Linked DNA regions of Ovis aries. The protein of the gene in region 2 interacts with the protein of the main gene of each other region in a biochemical or structural test. Links are inferred from orthologs where the notes say so. Each region holds a gene or a part of one and is shown on either strand. Other genes may lie near its edges.

Region 1 (9,228 bases), on a different chromosome or scaffold from region 2:
AGCATGTTTTCGAGGCACCTGAGGACTGTCATTTGCCACAGACCAGAGCTCACGCGTGAACTGTTTTTAATCACAGACCGGAGCGCACGTGTGTGAACTGTTTTTATCACAGACCGGAGCTCCCGCGTGTGAAGTGTCTTCACTCTCCAGAGACTGGAGCTCACGTGTGTGAATTATCAGAGACCAGAGTTCACGCGTGTGAATTATTTTCACTCATCGCAGACCGGAGCTCACGTGTGTGAATTGTTTTTATCGCAGACTGGAGCTCACGCGTGTGAAGTGTCTACACTCTCCAGAGACTGGAGCGCCTGTGTGTGAACTGTCTTCGCGCTCCGCAGGCCGGAGCTCACCTTGGAACCGAGGGTGCTAACATCCTCTGTAGGCTTGCTCCCTGCAGGCTTCGTGCCTGCACGCCAGGCTCCGTGCACACACTGAGCTCCATGCTCACACTCTAGGCTCCCGGGCAGAGTCCAGCCTCTGCCCTGTGCCTTCACTCACTAGTCTGCTGGTGACCGTTTCATCAACTGGCTTATTACAAGCCAGATTAAAGTGGAATAAAAACAGTAAATTCTCTTTGAAGAACTGGACTTTGTTTTTACATAGATCATTTATTAAGTTAGAAGGCTGAAAGGTACAAACATATCTTACAATCAAAGAGGAATCTGGACCCTGGACCCCAACAGAATGATCTGAAACGCAAAGCTCCAAGGACCATTTCTGCAAACACCCAGCAGGGCTCCTGAAACGGGAGTGGGGTGGGGAGCCTGCTGTACACGCCTCTCCTCTCCGACACCAAGCAACAACCACCTGTGAGGCACCCCAGTCCTGGGCCCGGCAGCCACAGGCGCCGTGCTTAGTGCCCCCCGAGGGGCGGCCTGGACACGAGCACGGACGTGAGCAGAGCAGCAGGGACAGCAGGGCCACCGGACATCTCGAGGCCCTACTGATGCGCCCTCCTCTGACCCAGTGCAGCAGCAGGCGTCCGCGACAAAGGACCCCGAGCTGGCAGGTCTCAGCCACCCTGAAGCCAAGTCTCCTGTCCTCGGAGGCCCAGGCAGGGGGAGGCGGCGGCGGGGAGGCAGCGTGGGGCCGCCCGGGCTGGGGTCAGCCATCAGAGTTGCGCTGTGTGGTCACCGTGCTGCAGCCAGCGTGCGGCTGTTTAGCCGCTGGTCTCACGCATCTACCGAGCGCCTGCGGCAAAGGCACCGGTGGTCTGAACCCCCCTCGCAAGCCTCCCTGCCACCGGGCCGCCACGGGAGGGGTCTGGTTGGCTTGACCGCTGGCCAGCTTCACGCTAAGCCTACGTCAGGGACAGGACTGGGGTCTGTCTGAGTCCTCACCGCCTCGGGGTGGGGTCTGTCTCCATGTCCAGAGGCCGGGCAAGGCCTCCAGGCAGAGCGGCAACCGTGGCTGGCCGCACCGTGTTCTCATTTCCATGGGGCTCCACCCAGCTGGCCCCATCCTCAGTGTCCACGGCCAGAGGCGGCAGGGTGCCGCCCACACCGCAGGTTGCCTCTTGCCTCTCGGGAAGACCTCCCAGTGCCGGCGGTCACCACGCTGACCCAGCCTGCGGCCCAGCTTCCTACACAAGGTCGGCGGTGAGCTGAGAGTTCAGAGGCCTCTGACAGACGGGGACGAGGGCTGGGTCTGCTCCCGACACCCACCTCAGCGAGCTCTACAGTCAGCGCGCGTCTGGGGGCGGCGACCCCTCGGGACAACACGGCATGGAGGGCGAGGCAGCAGGAAAGACTACGGGGCCGCGGGCTCAGGACGTGGCTGCAGACGCCAGGCTGGGCCCCGAGGCAAGGTCCACCCGACCCCAGCGAGGCGCCCAGGGAGACCGCCACGGGGAGGAGCGGAGCTTCTTGTCCTGAAGCCCTAACACGACCCACAGCAGCTGTTAGTGTGTCTACCCAGGCAGGCGGCATCATGAGAGACCACCTGTCAACCCAGAAGGGGCCCAGCACCGAGGCCCTGCGGGGGAGCTGCTCCCAGGAGAGGCTCCCGGGAGGACGGCCAGCAGGAAGTGGGCGTGTGCACGGGACGCGCCGCCTCCACCCTTCAGGAAGCGAGAGGAGAGCCACCCCCCCCCGCCCCGACCACGTGGAGAACGGCTCCAAGAACCAAAACCACATGCATCCCAACGAGGGCGAGGACGGCAACACGGACGTCCAAGGAAGGGGCTACGCGGGGCATGTTCACGGGGATCTGCTGGGGACAGTGCTCGGGAGAGCTGGGCGGGCGGGCAGGCGGCGAGACGGCGGGCATGTCTAGGACTCCTCGCCCATCTGGAGCAGGGAGTTGATGGCTGCGTCCCTGCTGCCCCGCTGGGCCTCCAGCACGGAGCGGATCACCTCCCGGTCCATGTTGGGGAACATGTCCTGGATGGCCTTCAGGTCCTCCTCACGGCAGCGGGGCTGGGCGCTCACGGCTGGGGGCAGCGCCACAGGCACCACGCCGGGGCTGCACACGGCGGGCATCCCTGCAAGCAGAGGCAAGCTCAGTGGGCAGCCCCTCTGCTGCGGAGCCCAGGTCTCACCTGAGGTCTCCCCCACAACACGACCCCAGAGATCTCCCCCCACCTCCAACATGACCCCAGAGGTCTCCCCTCACCCCAACATGACCCCAGAGATCTCCCCCTCACCCCATGACCCCAGAGGTCTCCCCCCACCCCCGACATGACCCCAGAGGTCTCCCCCTCACCCCAACACTGCCCCAGAGATCTCCCCCTACCCCCGACATGACCCCAGAGGTCTCCCCCCACCCCCGACATGACCCAGAGGTCTCCCCCTCACCCCAACATCACCCCAGAGATCTCGGCCCCGGACACTGCCTCTCAGATAGGCCAGACGCTCAGGAAAAATGGGGGTGAGCAGACCTCAGCCATTTACACCACGGGGGTCAAGCCCTCGCACCACGGCCACCCCCAGCTGCCACCCCCCCAACCCCGAGCACCGAGACTCCCCCGCCGGCCCCTCTGCCGGCCCTCCAGGACAGGCCTTCCCAGCTGGGCACCCAGTCCCAGTCAGACCCCGTCGAGGAAGGAGACCCCACCGGGCCCAGCGTCCTGAGGACGGCAGACCCCCCCCTGCTCCACACGGGCAGCACGTGGGGCTCCGGTGTCAGCTCGCCACACCAGCCGCACCCCTTCACTCCCATGTGGACGCTGAGAAGCTCAAGGCATCTCAGCTGCTGGAAGACTCAGACCTGGAGCCACCAGAACCCAAGTCAAAGCTCCGACTGTCTTGTGAGGAAAACAGACCAGCAAAAGGAAAGACAGAGCTGCTGAGGTCCCGCGGCTTCAGAGACAGCCCTGGCCAGACAGCGCTCTGAAGGGCGGAAGCGGCTGCAAAACTACCTGTCTTTAGAAACTCAAAAGCACAGTCCCCCAACCAGGCCCAACAGCTCACATGGTCTCCTTTCCTGTCTGAGCTCAGAAGACCTTAAAGGCAGCTCAAAACCTTCCAAACCAAAACCAGCAGAAGAGCCGACAAGCGCTGAGGTACAGGGGTGCCGGCCGCAGGGGTGGGACCAAGCCTGCGATGGACACGGCTGCCTGCGGGGCCGGACGCGCACCCGAGGCAGCCGCAGGGCCCAGCCCCTCCCTCCCGCTGCCCCCCGGCCCCTCCCTCCCGCTCCAGCCCTCACTCTTCCCCGCACTCTGCTCAAGAGCTCAGAGGTTTCTCAGGGACACGGCCACCACCGTGCGCACAGCACCCTCGCATCCTCTCCCGTCTCCCAGGCTCTGAGCCTCCCACGCTTGCGTCCCACCCCGTCCTACAGACGTTCACAGGCAGGGGGACTGAGTCACTTCCAGTCAGAGCCTGGGTGGGAACTGACCACAGGCTGACGTGAAGGCACAGAAATCCACGAGAAAAGCCACACCCTACTCGACTCCGCTGCGCGTGAACCGCCGGCTCACAAAGGTGAACACTGCGAGAGGTCGAGAGCCGCGCACGGGGAATGGACGCGACAGACGCAGGCAGGCTCGGGCGTGCAGTCCGTCCATCCACCCGAAAGGACATGACCTTGTGCTACAGCGACTCAGAAACCATGCTTCCCCATCTCCATACACTTAACTCAACTTTTCTGCACTGACAGAAAAAAAAACAATCCTACCCCCTAAGCGTGCAGGAGAAGCCAACACAGGACAGCGGACCCCCGGTTTGGGCAGGCTCTCCAGGCACCGCCTGCAGACCAGGCCCAGCCTCTAGCTTGACACCCCACGCACCTCCCTCCTGCTCTGAGGCCACCCCAGGAGACGCGCCGCGAGGAGGGGAGACGCACCTGTGATGGGCACATAGCCCACACCCTGCTGGTACACGGTGGGCATCAGGACCACGGGTTGAGGCGGCATCATCATGGCAGCCGGCAGCGACTGAAACACACCAAAGATGACCCCAGGGTCACAGCAGAACACCCCCCCCGCCGCCTCACCAAAAGCTGGGGTGGGGGGCAGCACCAGGCCTGGGGCCCCACAGTCGAGGCTAGGACGCGCCCTGTCCCCAACCTCAGACGCCCGTTCACACCGCCTCCCCACAGGCCCCTCTGCGGGCAGAGGACGACGCGGGTGGAAGGCGCCTGTCGTCAGAGCCGCAGGACACGACTGAGAGCCCATCGGGAGAGGACGCTGCTCCAGGCTGCGAGCCGGAGCGCACGCTTCAGGCTCGAACCCCTGCCGTCCCAGACAGCCTCTCTCTGGCTGCAGTTAGTTAGACACAGCAGCAGCGTCCCATCCACATGGAAGCGTCTGCTGAACAGGTAGGATGCACCCAGCAGAAACGTGCTGATGTGGGAACCCGCAGTGACTGATCCAGTGCCAGGAAGGGGTGAGCAGGTACCAGCGCGGCGGCCCCGAGGCTGGGGGTCCGCCGGCCCGCCCCCGCGCGGGGAGCACCGGGCAGGCGCGGCGGCCTCACCGTGTACGACAGCACCAGGTTGATCATCCCCTCCTTGTCGTCGCCCTGCCGCCCGCTCAGGCTGTACCACTCGTCCACGACCTTGCCCTGCTTCAGCGCCTCGGGGATCGTCACGTGCGTCCAGGCGATGCGGTCATCCATGGAGAAGGCCCGCTGGGGGAGACGGGAGACGGCATGTGAGCCCAGAGCCCCCAGGGCCCTCCCCCCGCAGGGTGTGCACAGCATGGAGCCCCCGCCTCGCTCCCCTCCTGCGGGCCCACACGGAGGGAGGGGCTCCAATGAGCCACCAGCGCCGCCTGCACCAACCCGCGGGGCCGGGCCCCCGGACACGCGCTCCCCTGAACCACGCCTTCCCCTCCCGCTCCACCCCAACCCCTGAGGACCGCAGCCTCTCCCAGCCCTGCCGCCCACCCCACTCTGAGCCAGCCTCAGAAGGGCTGGGGCACGTGGAGGGCCAGGCTGAGAAGGGCCTGGGGCTCCCGACACCCCGGGGACACTCAGGAGGCTCCTGCCATTCCCCCACAAAGAGGCCAGTGCCCACCCTGCCAGGGCCTGACCGTGTCAGCCCTGAGCCACGTGCGGACAGCAGTGCCTGGCCTGACTGGTCGGGCGACGCCCACGCTCCGGACATGGCGGTGACGTGTCTGAGTGTAGGTTCCAGAGACTCTGGGGGCACAGAGCGCCTGTCACACCACAGCACCCCCCCTGCACACACGCCCGACGTTCTGGAGCAGCCGGGAGCCTGAGCCGCAGCGGCCCGCGTGGTGCCCACCTCGTCGAAGATCTCCAGGTAGAAGGTGTCCACGCCCGGGGGCACGGTGCACTGGATGACCTTGTTCCAGCGCGGGTTCTTGGCGCCGTTGTGGGCCGTGGGCGTCTCGTACACGGCGTAGCCCAGGCGCAGGCGGCAATAGGGGTCCATGCGGGTCATGCCGTAGTTCTTCGCCAGCTTGGCCTGAAACAAAGCCGCCGCGTGAGACGGGGCCGCAGCCGTGAGCCTGGGAGCCTCCCCGCCACCCACGGCTTCCAGGGCGCTCTGGGTGCTGACCCACTGGACACGGCCACCACTGTGCTGTCGGCCCTCCACAACCACAGGTCCAAAGTGAAAGAGAAAGGCGCTGGACCAGGAAAGAACATTCCAGAAACTTCCAAAAGCAAAACCTGAATCTGCCACACCAGCAACTGGGTTTACAGCCTTGTACCGTATAACAACCGAGCTCACGCGGCGTGTTCGGCATGCTAGGTGTCATGAGTAACCCAGGGATGGCTCTGAGCACATGGGATCTGTGCAGGCCACGTGCAGACCTGCACTGTTTCAGGTAGCGGCCTTGAGCGTCCTCAGACTGTGCTGTCTGTGGGGTCCCAGAGCCCGTTCCGAGGACAACTGTGCTTCGGGGCCCAGGAACCAGGAGGTGGTCTGGGCTGGGCCCAGCGTCTCAGGACACACCCACTGCTGGGCGGGGCTGGGTCCCCCCGACTCCTGGGGAGGAGGGTGGAGAGGGCAGGCCGTCCTGGGACAGAGTCTGAGCCCCGGAGAAGCAGGGGTCAGGGGCCCCCTGAGAAGCGAGGCCTGGCCAAGGCCTTCTCTGCATCCTCAGACAGTGACCGTGCCGGCCCCCTGACCGGGCAGGACTCTCTCAGCAGTGACTGACCCTGCCCAGTGCCCGGGGGGCCAGGAATCCGCTCCGAGGGGCCTGATCCCCTGGAGCCCACGCCTCACGGTGACCAGGGCTAGCGCCCTGGTTCCTGCTGAGCAACGGACAGACTCCAGGAAGCACCTGGGGCCTGAGGGCAGGCCCGTGACAGCCAGAGGGAAGGGAACTTTCCGTGGTGCTGGAGAAACGCTCTTATCACAGGGGTGGACACACGTGTCGAGAGGTCACAGAAACAAAAGCACGTTAATTCAAACCAGTGCGTCCTGACACGTATGTCACACTCAACAGGCCGATTCTTTTTAAAAGCCCCTAGAGCCTGCTGCCTGTGAGACGCCATCTCTTCCCGACAAAGGCTCTGTGGAAGCCCCGCCCATTGGGAGCCTCCTTGCACCCCTCTCGGGCTGACACCCCCTGAGCTCTGGCACGCCTGCCCGCGATCATGCCCCAGAGCCGCCCCTCCACGTAGGACCAGCTGGCCCACCTCCAGACACACACCTCCTGTCACCGCAGGACCTCCCCCTGAAGTCATCTCTGAGCCTCAGGCACATCCTCTCAAGCACCCTCGACTGAACGCGTCCGACACTGAAGTGTGGCTCTCCTCCCCACCTGCTCCTGCAGTCTCCCCTTTCTGGCCACTGCCCACCGCCCCTGGTGCCGGCGACAGGCCGCGGGGTCACACACCCTCCTCCCGCCCCAACTTGAGGGCTCTCGAACTGGGCTGGATGCCCCCAGGAGGCCAAATTCGGGGCCTTCCAGCCTTGCCCACGATCTTCCTGACACAGAGCCCGAGGGAGCCCTGGACCCAGCTCGGGATGAGCTGTCCGCTTCCCACTTACTTGCCCCACGCTGCTCGCTGCCCCTCATCCCCCGCCCTTGCCCCCAGCCCATGGGTGGGGACTCCAGTTCAACCCACGCTCTCCACAGTAGCCTCCGGCCGCCCACTGCTGCCCCCGACCCTCGGCGCCCGCGCTCGGCCCCACGGGCTCTGAGAGCCACACCCACCTGCACCACGGTGACGCTGAGGCGGCCCACGGTGCCCAGCGCCCCTCCGTACTGCAGCTGCTGCGCGGCCTGTGCGTCCAACTGGATCTGCTGCTGCTGCTGCGTGGGCGTGATGCGCAGGAAGTCCTGGGGCAGCTCCCCGATGTACACCTGCGGGACCACGGCATCAGCGCGGGGCCGCCCGCCCTGGCCCGGCCCCCTGCTGCACCACGCGGGTCTGGGGCTCCAGCCTGCAGGCCCCCTAGGGCCTGTGCTCCCGGGGGCAGGGCGCCCAGCACATGGGGCTCCGTGGAGGCCCGAGCACGTCCCTGCCTGAAAGCACATCTCGCATCCTCGCCGGGGCTGCAAGCTGCTCTCAGGCCTCAGATGCGCTTGTCGCGTGTTGGCGGTCCCAGCCACAGACCAGGACCATGGTGAGCACGGCCTCTCCACCACAAGCTGTTCACTGGGTGAAGCCTGAGGCCCAGATGCCCAGAGACTCGGAGCAGCCTCTGTGCAGACGCCTCGGGAGAACAGCTCGCCTGCAGAAGCGCCCTGAAGACCAAGAAGCCTGCAGAGTGACCAGCAAAGGCCACGGGACCCGGCCCTGGAGAGGGAAGGCGGCGGAAGGGCGCCTGGGCACACACCCGCGCGCGGAGGATGTGCGGTCTGACGGCGACAACTCCAAGGAGACCACAGGAGACCAAGTTCGGGCCAGCTGGGCTCCGCCAGGGCGGTGAGCACAGAGAGATGCCCCCCAGGGCAGGCGGCCCACCCCCCGGGTGCTCAGGAACCTGGACCCCCCCGCCTCTGCTCTCTGCCGGGTGGGGGGGGGTGCAGGGCCAGGGGGGCACAGTGCAGCCAGGGCCCAGGACCCACGACAGAGGCCTGGCTGCAGGGGGGAACCAGGGCCACAGCCCCGCTCAGTGCCCAGAGCGCAGGGGCCCCAGACCCCTGTGCAGGGACCCGAAGAACGTGGCAGCTTCAGGGGACACGGGAGAGAAGGCCCTGCATGTCGTGGTGAGCCCTGGCAATTGCGTTTATGGACAGTGGCTGCCAGGGACCACCAGACGCTGCCAGACGCCAAGGCTCCCGCGAGGCTGACCAGACGGCATGGGGTGGGCGTCCAGACGGCACCCACCTGCCTGGGAGCGCGCCTGCCGGCTCTAGGGTGCCCTCACTCCTGCGTGCTGGCGCTCACCCCAGAACCAGCACCCGTACAACGAAGAGAGGCCCCGAGAGTCTGACGCCAACGGCGGGACAGACGGGAACTGTGGAGGCAGAGAGGCCCTTCTGACGGGCACTCTCGCCACTGTCCCCGGTGGCCTGCCCCCTGGGGACACCGGGCTCCACTCCGCATCCCCCAGCTCCGCTGCCTCAAGGCCCAGCGCAGGGCGGGGCCCAGGCGCCCTGGAGCCTGCGTTGCCAGGAAAAGCTCAGCACCTTCCTTCGCTCCCCAAGGCGCTGTGGGGTGCATCTCCTGGGCGATGGCGCAGCAGAGCAGGCCCCAGCCCGGGCCCCGGGAGGCAGGCAGCTTGTGACACCCTGCGGCCGCACCCTCGGTAAGGGCTGAGGCACCCGGGACACACCAGTTCCCAGTTCCACGGCGCCAAGACCAGACCCCCTGTGCCCACAACACACCCGCCGAGAGCCCTCGGGCCACTTGCTGCCCA
Region 2 (10,570 bases):
TGAATAAAAGGAAAACACTATGAAAATAAAACTAAAGGTGGGACCCAAAGGGCAGAAGTCTGGAGAGAGCTAGCTTAGGCAGAGACTTCCTTGATAAGGAGGTAAAGAGTTAACTTGTCCTGACTCCTCTGCCTTTCAGGGAGTGATGGCCCCAGGCTAATTAGAAGACTGAGGGTTTTTGTTTTTTTCTGAAACCAGAAGGGCGGAAATCTGGGACTTGACTCTTATTTCTTTGAGCTCAGGGAGGGAACAAAACCTATTCACCAGTTCCATCTGTAGGGTCAGGCAAAGGCTTTAATTCCCAAGTGAAAACCGGCTCCACCCCACAGCCTGAAACCTGACCTGTCTGTGACTGTGGCTGCCACTGCTCATTCCCAGTAACACCAAGACCAGACAGAGGCTGTGCTGGGGCCAGGGCCCTAGGTGGGTACCCTGGCTCCCCGGCGACCTTAGACTCTGCCCCAGCAATGATGGTAACACCTGGGGAAAATCACAACAGCTGACAATTATGGACAATTACTGTCTGGTGGGCACTGGGCCAAGTGCTTCACAACCTGGCCATATGAGAACCTCCCTACATGGCTGAACTTCCCAATCCTGACTGATCCCTGCTATTATTATCTTTATTTTTAAGACAGGAAATTGGAGAACAGAGAGGTTAAGTAACTTGCTTCAGGTAACAAAGCAGATGATGGATAAACCAGGATTTGGACCACCTGGTCTGATTCAGGAACACACTCTATGCGGCCATCTGACTCAAAGTCCTTTCTAGATATTAGTCCCTGTTATCCTTAAGACACAAATTTTGGATTCTAACCTGGTGCCAGCACTTACAGATCAAGGAATCGGAGCTCCAAGTTGCAAGGGCTCCCCATAGCTAAGAGTAGGAAGTGGTAGAGATTCTGACTCAGGGGGTCCAGAATTGGAGCATTCTCAAGCATCTCTAACAGGGATGCTTTGGGACCCCATTTTGAAGCACAATGCCCTCAATCATTCTGCCTCTGGTCAAGAGGTCAGCAAACTATAAACTCATGTGCCAAAAGGAGTCTGCATTTGCATGGCCCACAAGCTAAGAATACTCTCTACAGTTTCAAATGGTTGAAAAAAAAATTCCAAAGATCATTTCATAACAGGAAAATTACATGAAATTCCCATTTCAGTATCCATAAATGAAGTTTGATTGGAACACAGCCATGTCCCTTCACTGACATTGTCTGTCTGCTTCTGTGCTCTGAGGGCAGAGGCCAACGGATTGCAGCAGAAGCCATACGGCCCACAAAATTGAAAATATTTACTCTCTGGCCCTTTATAGAAAAAGTTTGCAAATCCTGGTCCAGTCTACCCTGCCAGCCACGCAACATCCTGCTTACAGCCTCCCTCCCCTCCATACCTCCAGTGGTGGGGAGCTCACCCAGTCCTGCTGTGAACCGTGCTGGCACTGGGCTCCTTGGAGTGATGGAATCGGTTCCATCACTCCTCCCCCAGTACCCATCCATTTCTTTCTTCTCTCTAGAATCAACCTACGCTGTCCTCACCGTCCCCTCAGTTGTTCAGTCCTCTGTGAATGAGGGAGAGTGATGGTCCCTAACAGAAAGTGGTGAGAAGGAACGAGACAGTCAGGAGCGAACATGAGCCGGACCCAGGTCTTCTGCCACCTAGCCTGGCGTCCCCTTGACAACACACCTGAATGTCCAGTTTGGTTTCCACTTATTGCTCCCCAAAGGGCAGCCCTGAGGGCCTGTGGGGCTCTCTTCCTGCTAATGCCTATGGTCTCCCATCTATGATGCCTTCTGGCAGCCCCTTGGCTTGGCCTTTATGGGGCTAAGAGTGGCTCTCCCTGACCTTTCACCTCTCCCATCCACCCCAGGGTTCAGGCTTAGGCTCTGAGCTTTCCTCCTGCCCCACGACTAGGGGGTGGTCCCCAGGCACTGCCTGTGTCTAGAGTCTCTGCTGTTTGCAGCTGGCTCTCCTGGGTCAGCTGCGCCTCCAGTCAAAGTGCTGGGTGAGCTGACAGCTGGAGGTGGAAAACTGGGTTTTTAAAACACGGCCAGCCAGGGCTGTCATCAGAGAATACCTGAGATGGGTTTTAAAATCCTTGGAAGAAGAGGGCTGTGTCAACACCAGCTAGTACTCACTATCTAGGGTCCTTTCAGCCATAGGCTGCTGTCCACTGGAAGCTTTCCTGATAGATAAAGCATCACCCACCATTTCAGTAAACAAAAGCACTTGTGGCCATCAAGCCTTTGGTTACAGTGCACCCTCCCTTCACTGAAGTGCACCTTGAGCAGAGTTCAGGATGGAGAAAAAGAGTATACTGGGCCTAGATAGTGAAGATGCAAACCAAAGGAATGACTTCAAACAGCCCAGACTCTTGCAGCTTCCCACACAGAGAAAAGCACTAAAACATTAATTTGAGGTATCTGCTTTTTGTGATTAGCAGTCATCTTTTGATGTCTGACTGTGTGTCCCCCCACGCCCCCTCCATCTGCCTTCCCCCAGCAAAAACTCCTGTATCTCCTGGCTTCTCCCTGACCTCTTTGGAACAGTCCCTCAGAGCTATCTGAGAGACTGCCTCCAAGGCTGTAGTTCTCAGTGAGGGCTCCTAAAAGCCTCAGCTTTTAGGTTGTGCATATTCTTTAGTTGACAGTGGATTCTTTAGTGATCTGGAGGAGGAAATGGCACCCCACTCCAGTATTCTTGCCTGGGAAATCTCATGGACAGAGGAATCTGGTGGGCTATAGTCCACGAGGTCACAAAGAGTTGGACACGACTGACTGACTGAGCACGAGTGACCTGGAAACATTCAGGGCCCAGCAAGCGCCACAAGCGGAAAAGCTGGTCTGTGGGTCAAACAGTAACTGTGGCTGCTGGAGGGCTGGGTTGCTCCAAATTCCAAACAGGTGTTGACCAGCCAGAGGCAGGATGGTGAGGGTGCGAGAGGACCTCAGTTCTGCAGGCAGAGACCTGGGTCTGGGTCCCGACTCTAGGAAGCTGGGAAACCTTGGAAGTGACACCTTCCTTCAGACTTACTTTTGGTGATTGGAAAAAACAGCAGAACCTTGCATGCTTGAAACAGACTCCCCTTAAAACTGAGTTCCTCTGTCAACTTCATATTAATTTCTTTATTCAAAACTTTATTCCCTTTCTTGTCCCACACCTGTTCCCCACAAGACTGAAGAGTATTAAAGAAAAGGCGTATCCCCACTGGTATCCTGCGGGGCCCTTCTGGGTACGAAAGCTTTTCAGTGTCCCCTGTTTCTTGTTTTTGCGGAAAAGTCATCTGTCTCCTAAATCTTCCCTGAGTTCCAAAAGGCAGATTCAGTTAATGATTAGGGGAGGGAGGGAACCCAGAAACAAAGGAAAAGCAATCAAGAAACAATAGCGCAACAATAAAAAAAGAGTCCTAGTTCCTTCTCGAGGGATTTACTTGACAATCTGATACACATCTCTGAGTTCTACTATAGGAGCTGGGGCCCCACCCAGGTGGATGATGGTGACTTCAGGTCTGCACAAGCACGGAGACCACAGACTGGATGGAACCAGAAGGCTGATGCCTAAGATTCCTGGAGCCCCACCTTGTTACCTCCCACCAACCAATCAGAAGATATTTACAAACCCTGGAGTTCCACCCTCCTCCTAATTTTGCCTTTAGAAGCTCCTCCCTGAAAACCAATGGGGTTTTGGGTCTTTGAGCATGCACAGCCCAATCTCCTTCCTTGGCCCTTGTAATACACTTTTCTCTGCTCCACACTCCCGCTTTGGTTTGTTTGGCCTCACCTCACATCAGCACACAAACTTGGGCTTGACAATAGGACTGTGATACAAGTATGGACCTGGTGTTTGCTCACAAACTGTTACTTTCCTTTCTTCCCTCCAGTCATGTGTCAGCATTATGCTAAGTACCTAGGGTCTGGATTAGTAAGATTCAGCATCTGCTCTCACAAAGCCTAGTCCAGCAGGGGAAACACACGCACAACTACTAACAGAATGCCACGGTGCTTTATTAGTGTGACGTCAGTGAAAATAATAAAAATGATGACGATGTATTCTGCAAACTAATAATGTGCCAGGCCCTCTCCAGAGAGCATCTCACTTCACTCTCACAACCACTCTGAGAAATGGATGCTGCCATAACCACCATTGCACCCAGGAAGCAGAGCCCAAAGGCAGACAGGGAGTGAGCCTGAGGAGCTAGGGTGATGGGAGGGCACAAAAACAACGGCTGGATTTGAAGGGGTCAGCGAAGGCCTCCTGGAGTAGGTGATGATGCCTGGAACTTTAAGGAGGCACTGGCAGCAGGCATTCCAGGCAGAGGGAGCAGCAAGCAGAAAGGGGTGTGAATGGGTGACTGGAAACTTTCTGAGTCGAGAGACACTGAGCTCTGATTTAGACCATCACGACCTACTGTGCTCAGTGCTGCCAACTGGACAGGGCTCTATGCTCAACCGGGGGATGAAGTCGGCAGGCTTGAGAAGAGATTATTTCAATCCTGCAGTTTATAGAAATGAAAGCAGCTCATACTAGGTCATTAGTAATTACAGCTGATCAGGGCTGTTGCTCCCCCACACCCCGGGGGTGAAGAAAAGGAATACTGAGGGTATTAACTCAAATAGCAGACATTATTCATTTAATAGTACTTTTAGAGCCTCTTCAGCTTTGGTTCAGATTTCACGGACTCAGAGGGGTTCTTCTCAGCTTTCTGACCACATCACTGGGGTCTTGGGTGAGTCCTATTTTCCACCTTCCCTCTCTTGGCCTCAGTCTCCAGTGTAGAATGAAGGGGATGGGCTACAATGGAGGTTTTCAATCTGGTGGCCACCTCAGGTCTACAGTCACAAACTCTGGGGGTGGGGCCCGGCCTTTGATGCTTTAACAAGTCTTCCAGGGGATTCTGATGATAGCCCTGGATTAGAAGAGCCCTAGGATAAGGACTGTTCCTGCAGTAAAACACGGTCTGTGCTCTAAGGGACTAAGAGTTTAGTAGCATGCTCTTTGGACTGAATATTTCTTGCCCAAGACAGGTAACCCTTCAGGGTAAGAAGAGAAGCTCTTTTGTTTGACTACCTCAAGCCTGGAGTCCCAAAGAGCTTTTCTAGAAAGACTCAGGCATATTTGGCTGCCTGTGAACCAGAATTTTTTTCTTTTTTGGGGGGTGGGTGTGTAGGAAGTCTCAAATTTGACATGTGATAAAAGCAGAGGTTTCTGCAGTTGGAGAAATACAGACAAGAGATGAACTGCCTTCTCTTTTCAGTCCCAAACAATGACTCATCAGTGTGTGTGTCTGTTTGTGTAGCAGGTGGGTGAGGGTCCTGAGAGAGCAGCTGCCCCTCTCAGATCCAGGAACTTCCTGGTGTGTAAATACTCTACTGACAGCATCCTCTTGAATACATTTGATTACAAAACCTCAAAAGAGCCACAAACAGCCACAGGCAGCGATTTCAACACAGAGCTGGGTTAACAGACTTAAGTGAGGTTTGACTTCTAAGGCACCAAGAATGAAAAGAATGTATTGTCTAAAAGATCCAGTTTTCCCAGTCTGGACTTAAGGCTAAAAATCATCAAAAAGATGGAGAGAGGCTTTCACAGTACTTCCCTCGATTTATTCAGGCGAGGAAGCACAACCAGACTGTTCTGGAGAAGTGTCCCGGCCATGGCCTGTGGGTCCTCTCTGAGTTGGTGGGCAGGAATGAGTGTCTGTGAGACCAACTGTCTAGCCATTCTCAGGATTTTGGAACCCGCACTTGGTGGTGTCTCAGTAACAATAAATATTACCACCTTCTTTTACAGAGCATCTGCCACGTGGAAGGCACTAAATCCTTCACACTTATGAACGAGTTTAACCTAAACAACCCCAAGGAGGCAGGGATCATTATTATCCCCTAATCACTGGGGAGGGATCCTCTCTACAGACAGCCAACGCCGCACCATTACTAAGCCTCCGCTCAACAGGTGCCAAGAGAGTCAGGAGCCTGGGCTCTTGAGTGAGCCTGTGTCTCGCCCAGAGGGCTTGGGCCTCCCATCTGCTGAGAAATGAGGGAGGCTGAAATCAGGTGGTTTCGAAGATCCTTTCCAGCTCCAAGTCTGCGACTCCACGCGGTCCATTCGGTGCCGGCTGGTGAGGCGGCTATGGCCGGCAGTTCCTGAGGATTTGGCCTGGCCTTCTCGTGGGGTGGGCTCCCTAGCGTCTAGCCCCGGCTTGGTGGAGGAAGGGCTCCCAGCCGCCTGCCCGCCAGGCCGCAAAGCCCCAGCCTCCTGGTCCTTGAGAATGGACTTCCAGCCCTTCTCAGGTATCCGTGTTCGCAACTCCAGACGAGCCAGGAAGGAAATGGCAAGAGCCCAGGTGGCGCAACCCGTGCGGGGGAGGCGATGACAGAAACCATCGAGGGACCCAAACACTGCAAAAACCACGCAGTCCCTTTAACCCCTAAAACTTTCTGCCTGGATTCGCGACCCCAGCAGCTGCACATTGGCTGAGCCGCGGCCGCCCGGGCCCGCCTCCCCTCTTTATTTATTGGCTTCCGTGGGCATCCATCACAATCCGAAGCTTCCTAGTGGACAGTGGCTTTTGTCAATCAAAGCAGGCGGGAGGCAGGGCGGGGCCGGGTCTGAGAGAGACACGCCAGCCTCACTCCCCTCCCTGCCTCCCTCTGGTGTGTGACTCGGGACCTGGAGGTACCCTGGGGGGCCGGGGTCGAATGCGGAGTGCTGCGCTGGGCCTGCGCGGGGCCCCGGAGACTCACCGATGCGCTGTCCCACCGGAGAGCTGAACGGGTTCCCCAGGAGAAAGTCCATCGCCACTGCTGCCGCTGCCTCCAAGCCGGGGATCAGCTGACAGCAACCGCCAGCGCCGCGGACCCGTCACGTGATGCGCTGGACCGTCCTCGAGGAGGCGCGGCTGGGGCGGGGCAGAGGCAGTCTGGAGCCTAGACGCAGGCCCCGCCTCGGACGTGGAGTGTCGGCTCCCTGAGGCGGAGGGCGATGACCTCACTGCGGTTAACTAGGCGTCGGCGGACGTCACGCAGTACGTAGGGCGACGAGGGGGCGTGGGTTTCGCTAAGCCACGCCCTCCACGCGTCCTGAAGGATTTAGGGGCGTGGCCTTTGAGCTCTTAACACCTGGAAAACCCAATCTTAGACCCGGGAAATGATTTGCGTGGGCTTCCCTTGTAGCTCAGTCAGTAAAGAATTTGCCTGCAGTGCAGGAGACCTGGGTTCGATCCTTGGGTTGGGAAGATCCCCTGGAGAAGGAAATGGCAACCCACTCCAGTATCCTTGTCTGGAAAATCTCATGGACAGAGGGACCTTGTGGACTGCTGTCCATGGGGGTCGAAAAGAGTCGGGCACGACTGAGCGACTAACATATAACATACATATGTAACGGTACCCAGCAAGCCGAGGCCAAAGCTCTAGCTCTCAGTCCGGTCCCCCGGGACCTCAGTATGACTACACATCCGCTGCTGGGGTTGATAGACTCTCTGGCTTGTTGTCTCCCTACCCAGAGAGGACGCTTCCTGTTTGAGGCTGAGGTCTTCTGGCTGCAAAATGCTTCATGTTTGCAGCCCAGATTCCCTTACCTCAAATAGGAGGCAAGGGCAAAGGCTTTTCGAGACCTTGACACTGAGAGACAACTCAATGAATTGCAGCTAGTGATGGGCTAGAGCTCAAGGTGGCAGAAAGCATACAAATGTTATGAGTGGGTCCTAGGACACATCTCTGCCATTCATTTACGGTGTGATTCAAACAGCAGGCTTCCATTTTCTCTGAATTCTGGAATTAGATCAAGGACTTCTAACCTTTATTTTCTTAGGTCACAGGATCCTTTGAGAAATTGTACAAAGCACTGGAGCATTTCTGAAGAAAAAAGGCAAGATAGAATTGTACCTCAGGGTGGTTCTGGGGTCCCTGAGGTACACCAGTGGACTCCAAGCTAAGAATCTCAAAGGCTTTCTTCAGCTTTGTAATTCAAATGTCTTCTTCCATGCTCCCGTGCGCCATGTTTCAGCTGTGTCACTTACTCATTAGATATCTTACCTATTGGTTATAGTTTTTTCCTTCTAATGGCATGCACTCCAAAAGATAAAATAACCACTGCTTTGGTAGTCTGAGCTACTGCAAGGTGCTTTAGTATCTATCGAACGTATTTGTGAATTTTTAATTCGAAAGGCTAGTACATTTCACAAATTTAGGATGATAGAAAACCTGAATTACAACTTTATCACTTCTGTATGTTAACTGAGCAGTCAATAGGGTAGAAGAATTGATGCTTTTGAACTGTGGTGGAGAAGACTCTTGAGAGTCCCTTGGACTGCAAGGAGATCAGCCCTGGGATTTCTTAGTTGACATCTTTATTGTACGATATAAAAGCTTTATTGAAATCATGTACTCCTGTGCTTTGAAGTGTTTTAATAATGCTCATGAGACATGTTAATATATGCCCAGTCCCCCAGTAGTCTAGATGCTCCTTGAGTCTGGGATGCTATGTCTGTTTCTCTCACTGTTGTCCAGCATGATGACTAATGCTTGAAAATTTAAATTAGCAGTGGCATTTAGCCTATAAAGGGGGGATGTGCACTTATGACCATTTTCATGTCAGGTAGGTACCTTCCATGTTTTTTTTCATTTAAGCATATTGCTTGTTAGTATGGCATGTATTTAGCATGATTTTCCTTTGGATTCTTCCATTAACCTTTAATATCCATCCCTATGTTGGATGACTGGAAGTTCTTGCCCTCTTGCATCACTCTGGTTTGAGGTGATTATAGGCAGATCTTGGCTTTACTACAGAGAATAGAACAGCCATAAGTTTTATCCTTCATGGTAAGAAAGCAGAAACAACCCACATACCCCCAAACAGGGAGTGAAATTATATTAACTCCATGCAGACAGAAAGTTGTACAGCTATTAAATCAGAAATGGAAGTGTGTAGATTTTGTCAATACAATAAATAGTAACGTAAATGGCAAACATTAAGTGCAGTACAAAACTATGTCTTCAAACTATTTCCTAACAGGGAACAAACTCATTTAGTAAATAGTCTTTAATTTTTCCTTTTAAGCGTTTTAGCAATATCAATATTAAATGCCTTACTATGGATAAAAATGTTGAAGTCCCTTAAGATTGACAATGCATAAATGTAATATAATTGATTATAACCTTTAAGTACATCTAAACAAAATGATTAAGATTATAACCTTTAAGTACATTTAAACAAAGAATTTAAGATACTCTGCTTCCAAAATTTAAAGACCATAGTATGACAAGAAAAGTGAGATCCCTATAGCAAAGTCCAGCTAGGACAAAAGAACATTTGGACAGTGAAAAGTTCTGACAGTTTTCCTGCAATCACATTTGCTCAGGACTGCAGATAATGGAGAAGGATTCCGATGAATTACATACACAGTTTAAATTTGAAGGTGGCTTGGGGTAGAAGAATTGATGCTTTTGAACTGTGGTGTTGGAGAAGACTCTTGAGAGTCCCTTGGACTGCAAGGAGATCCAACCCGTCCATTCTGAAGGAGATCAGCCCTGGGATTTCTTTGAAGGGAATGATGCTGAAGCTGAAGCTCCAGTACTTTGGCCACCTCATGCGAAGAGTTGACTCACTGGAAAAGACTCTGATGCTGGGAGGGATTGGGGGCAGGAGGAGAAGGGGACGACCGAGGATGAGATGGCTGGATGGCATCACTGACTCCATGGACGTGAGTCTGAGTGAACTCCGGGAGATGGTGATGGACAGGGAGGCCTGGCGTGCTGCGATTCATGGGGTCGCAAAGAGTCGGACACGACTGAGTGACTGAACTGAACTGAACTGGGGTAGAAGAGAGCCTCGGCTTTGGGGTTTGCTGTTCCAGTGTGCTTATTCTGGCTTTGCCATTTACTTAGCTGTTTAAACTCAGGGAAAGTGCTTTCCTGTACCTGTCTCCTCTTTTGTAAAAGGGGATAATATTGATAAAGCTTTGGGGGAGGATTAAGTGCAATAAAATATGCAAAGCACTCTCTTCATTCAGCAATATGGTGATCTCTTTCTTGCTGCCTCTCTGTAAGAAGTGAGGCTTACAGCCAATATTTTGCTATTTATGACTATTTGCTATTTATGACTATTAACACCTTGTGTTTGCATTGAAAATTTTACCTTGAAAGGTCTAAACTCATATATTAGATGTTCACAGTATTACTAAACGTACATGTCAGGCTGGCTGGCTGCAAGGCTTGGAGACAGGGAAGTGACATTAACACTTATAGACAGGACTGTAGATACCTATAAAAATTAAGTTATTTATCCAATCCACTGTAACTCAGCAAATCAGAACAGTGCTGAAACACATGATTTAGCACACAATTTGAATGCGACTCTTATACAAGATTGACAGATATTTGACTTAGGCCAATAATGTAATGTGCGTACAATTTCATTTGTCAGTGAAGATAGCTACACTTACAGAGCCACTGGGTTTGCAGTTAGCAAAAGAGAAGATGAAAGTCCTCAATGTAAAAGTTAATAGAAACAGAGCAAGATGTTTGTTAGCTTTGATCAGAAACTTGACCTCTATTCCAGATGGGCTTTTTTTTTT

Evidence for each region.
Region 1: the proteins of TOM1 (region 2) and TOLLIP form a complex in vitro, tested with the Homo sapiens proteins (3 studies listed by BioGRID and IntAct, with this or other methods). The link is inferred for Ovis aries from reciprocal best matches to the Homo sapiens genes TOM1 and TOLLIP.

Annotation. Positions count from the first base shown.
Region 1 is NC_056074.1:46,570,162-46,579,389, reverse strand, and holds the end of TOLLIP (toll-interacting protein), read right to left. Parts: intron 7,727-9,228; coding exon 7,577-7,726; intron 5,875-7,576; coding exon 5,692-5,874; intron 5,073-5,691; coding exon 4,920-5,072; intron 4,379-4,919; coding exon 4,288-4,378; intron 2,483-4,287; coding exon 2,271-2,482; 3' UTR 589-2,270; downstream 1-588. UniProt on the Homo sapiens protein: Component of the signaling pathway of IL-1 and Toll-like receptors. Inhibits cell activation by microbial products. Recruits IRAK1 to the IL-1 receptor complex. Inhibits IRAK1 phosphorylation and kinase activity.
Region 2 is NC_056056.1:179,158,446-179,169,015, reverse strand, and holds the start of TOM1 (target of Myb1 membrane trafficking protein), read right to left. Parts: upstream 6,820-10,570; 5' UTR 6,793-6,819; coding exon 6,741-6,792; intron 1-6,740.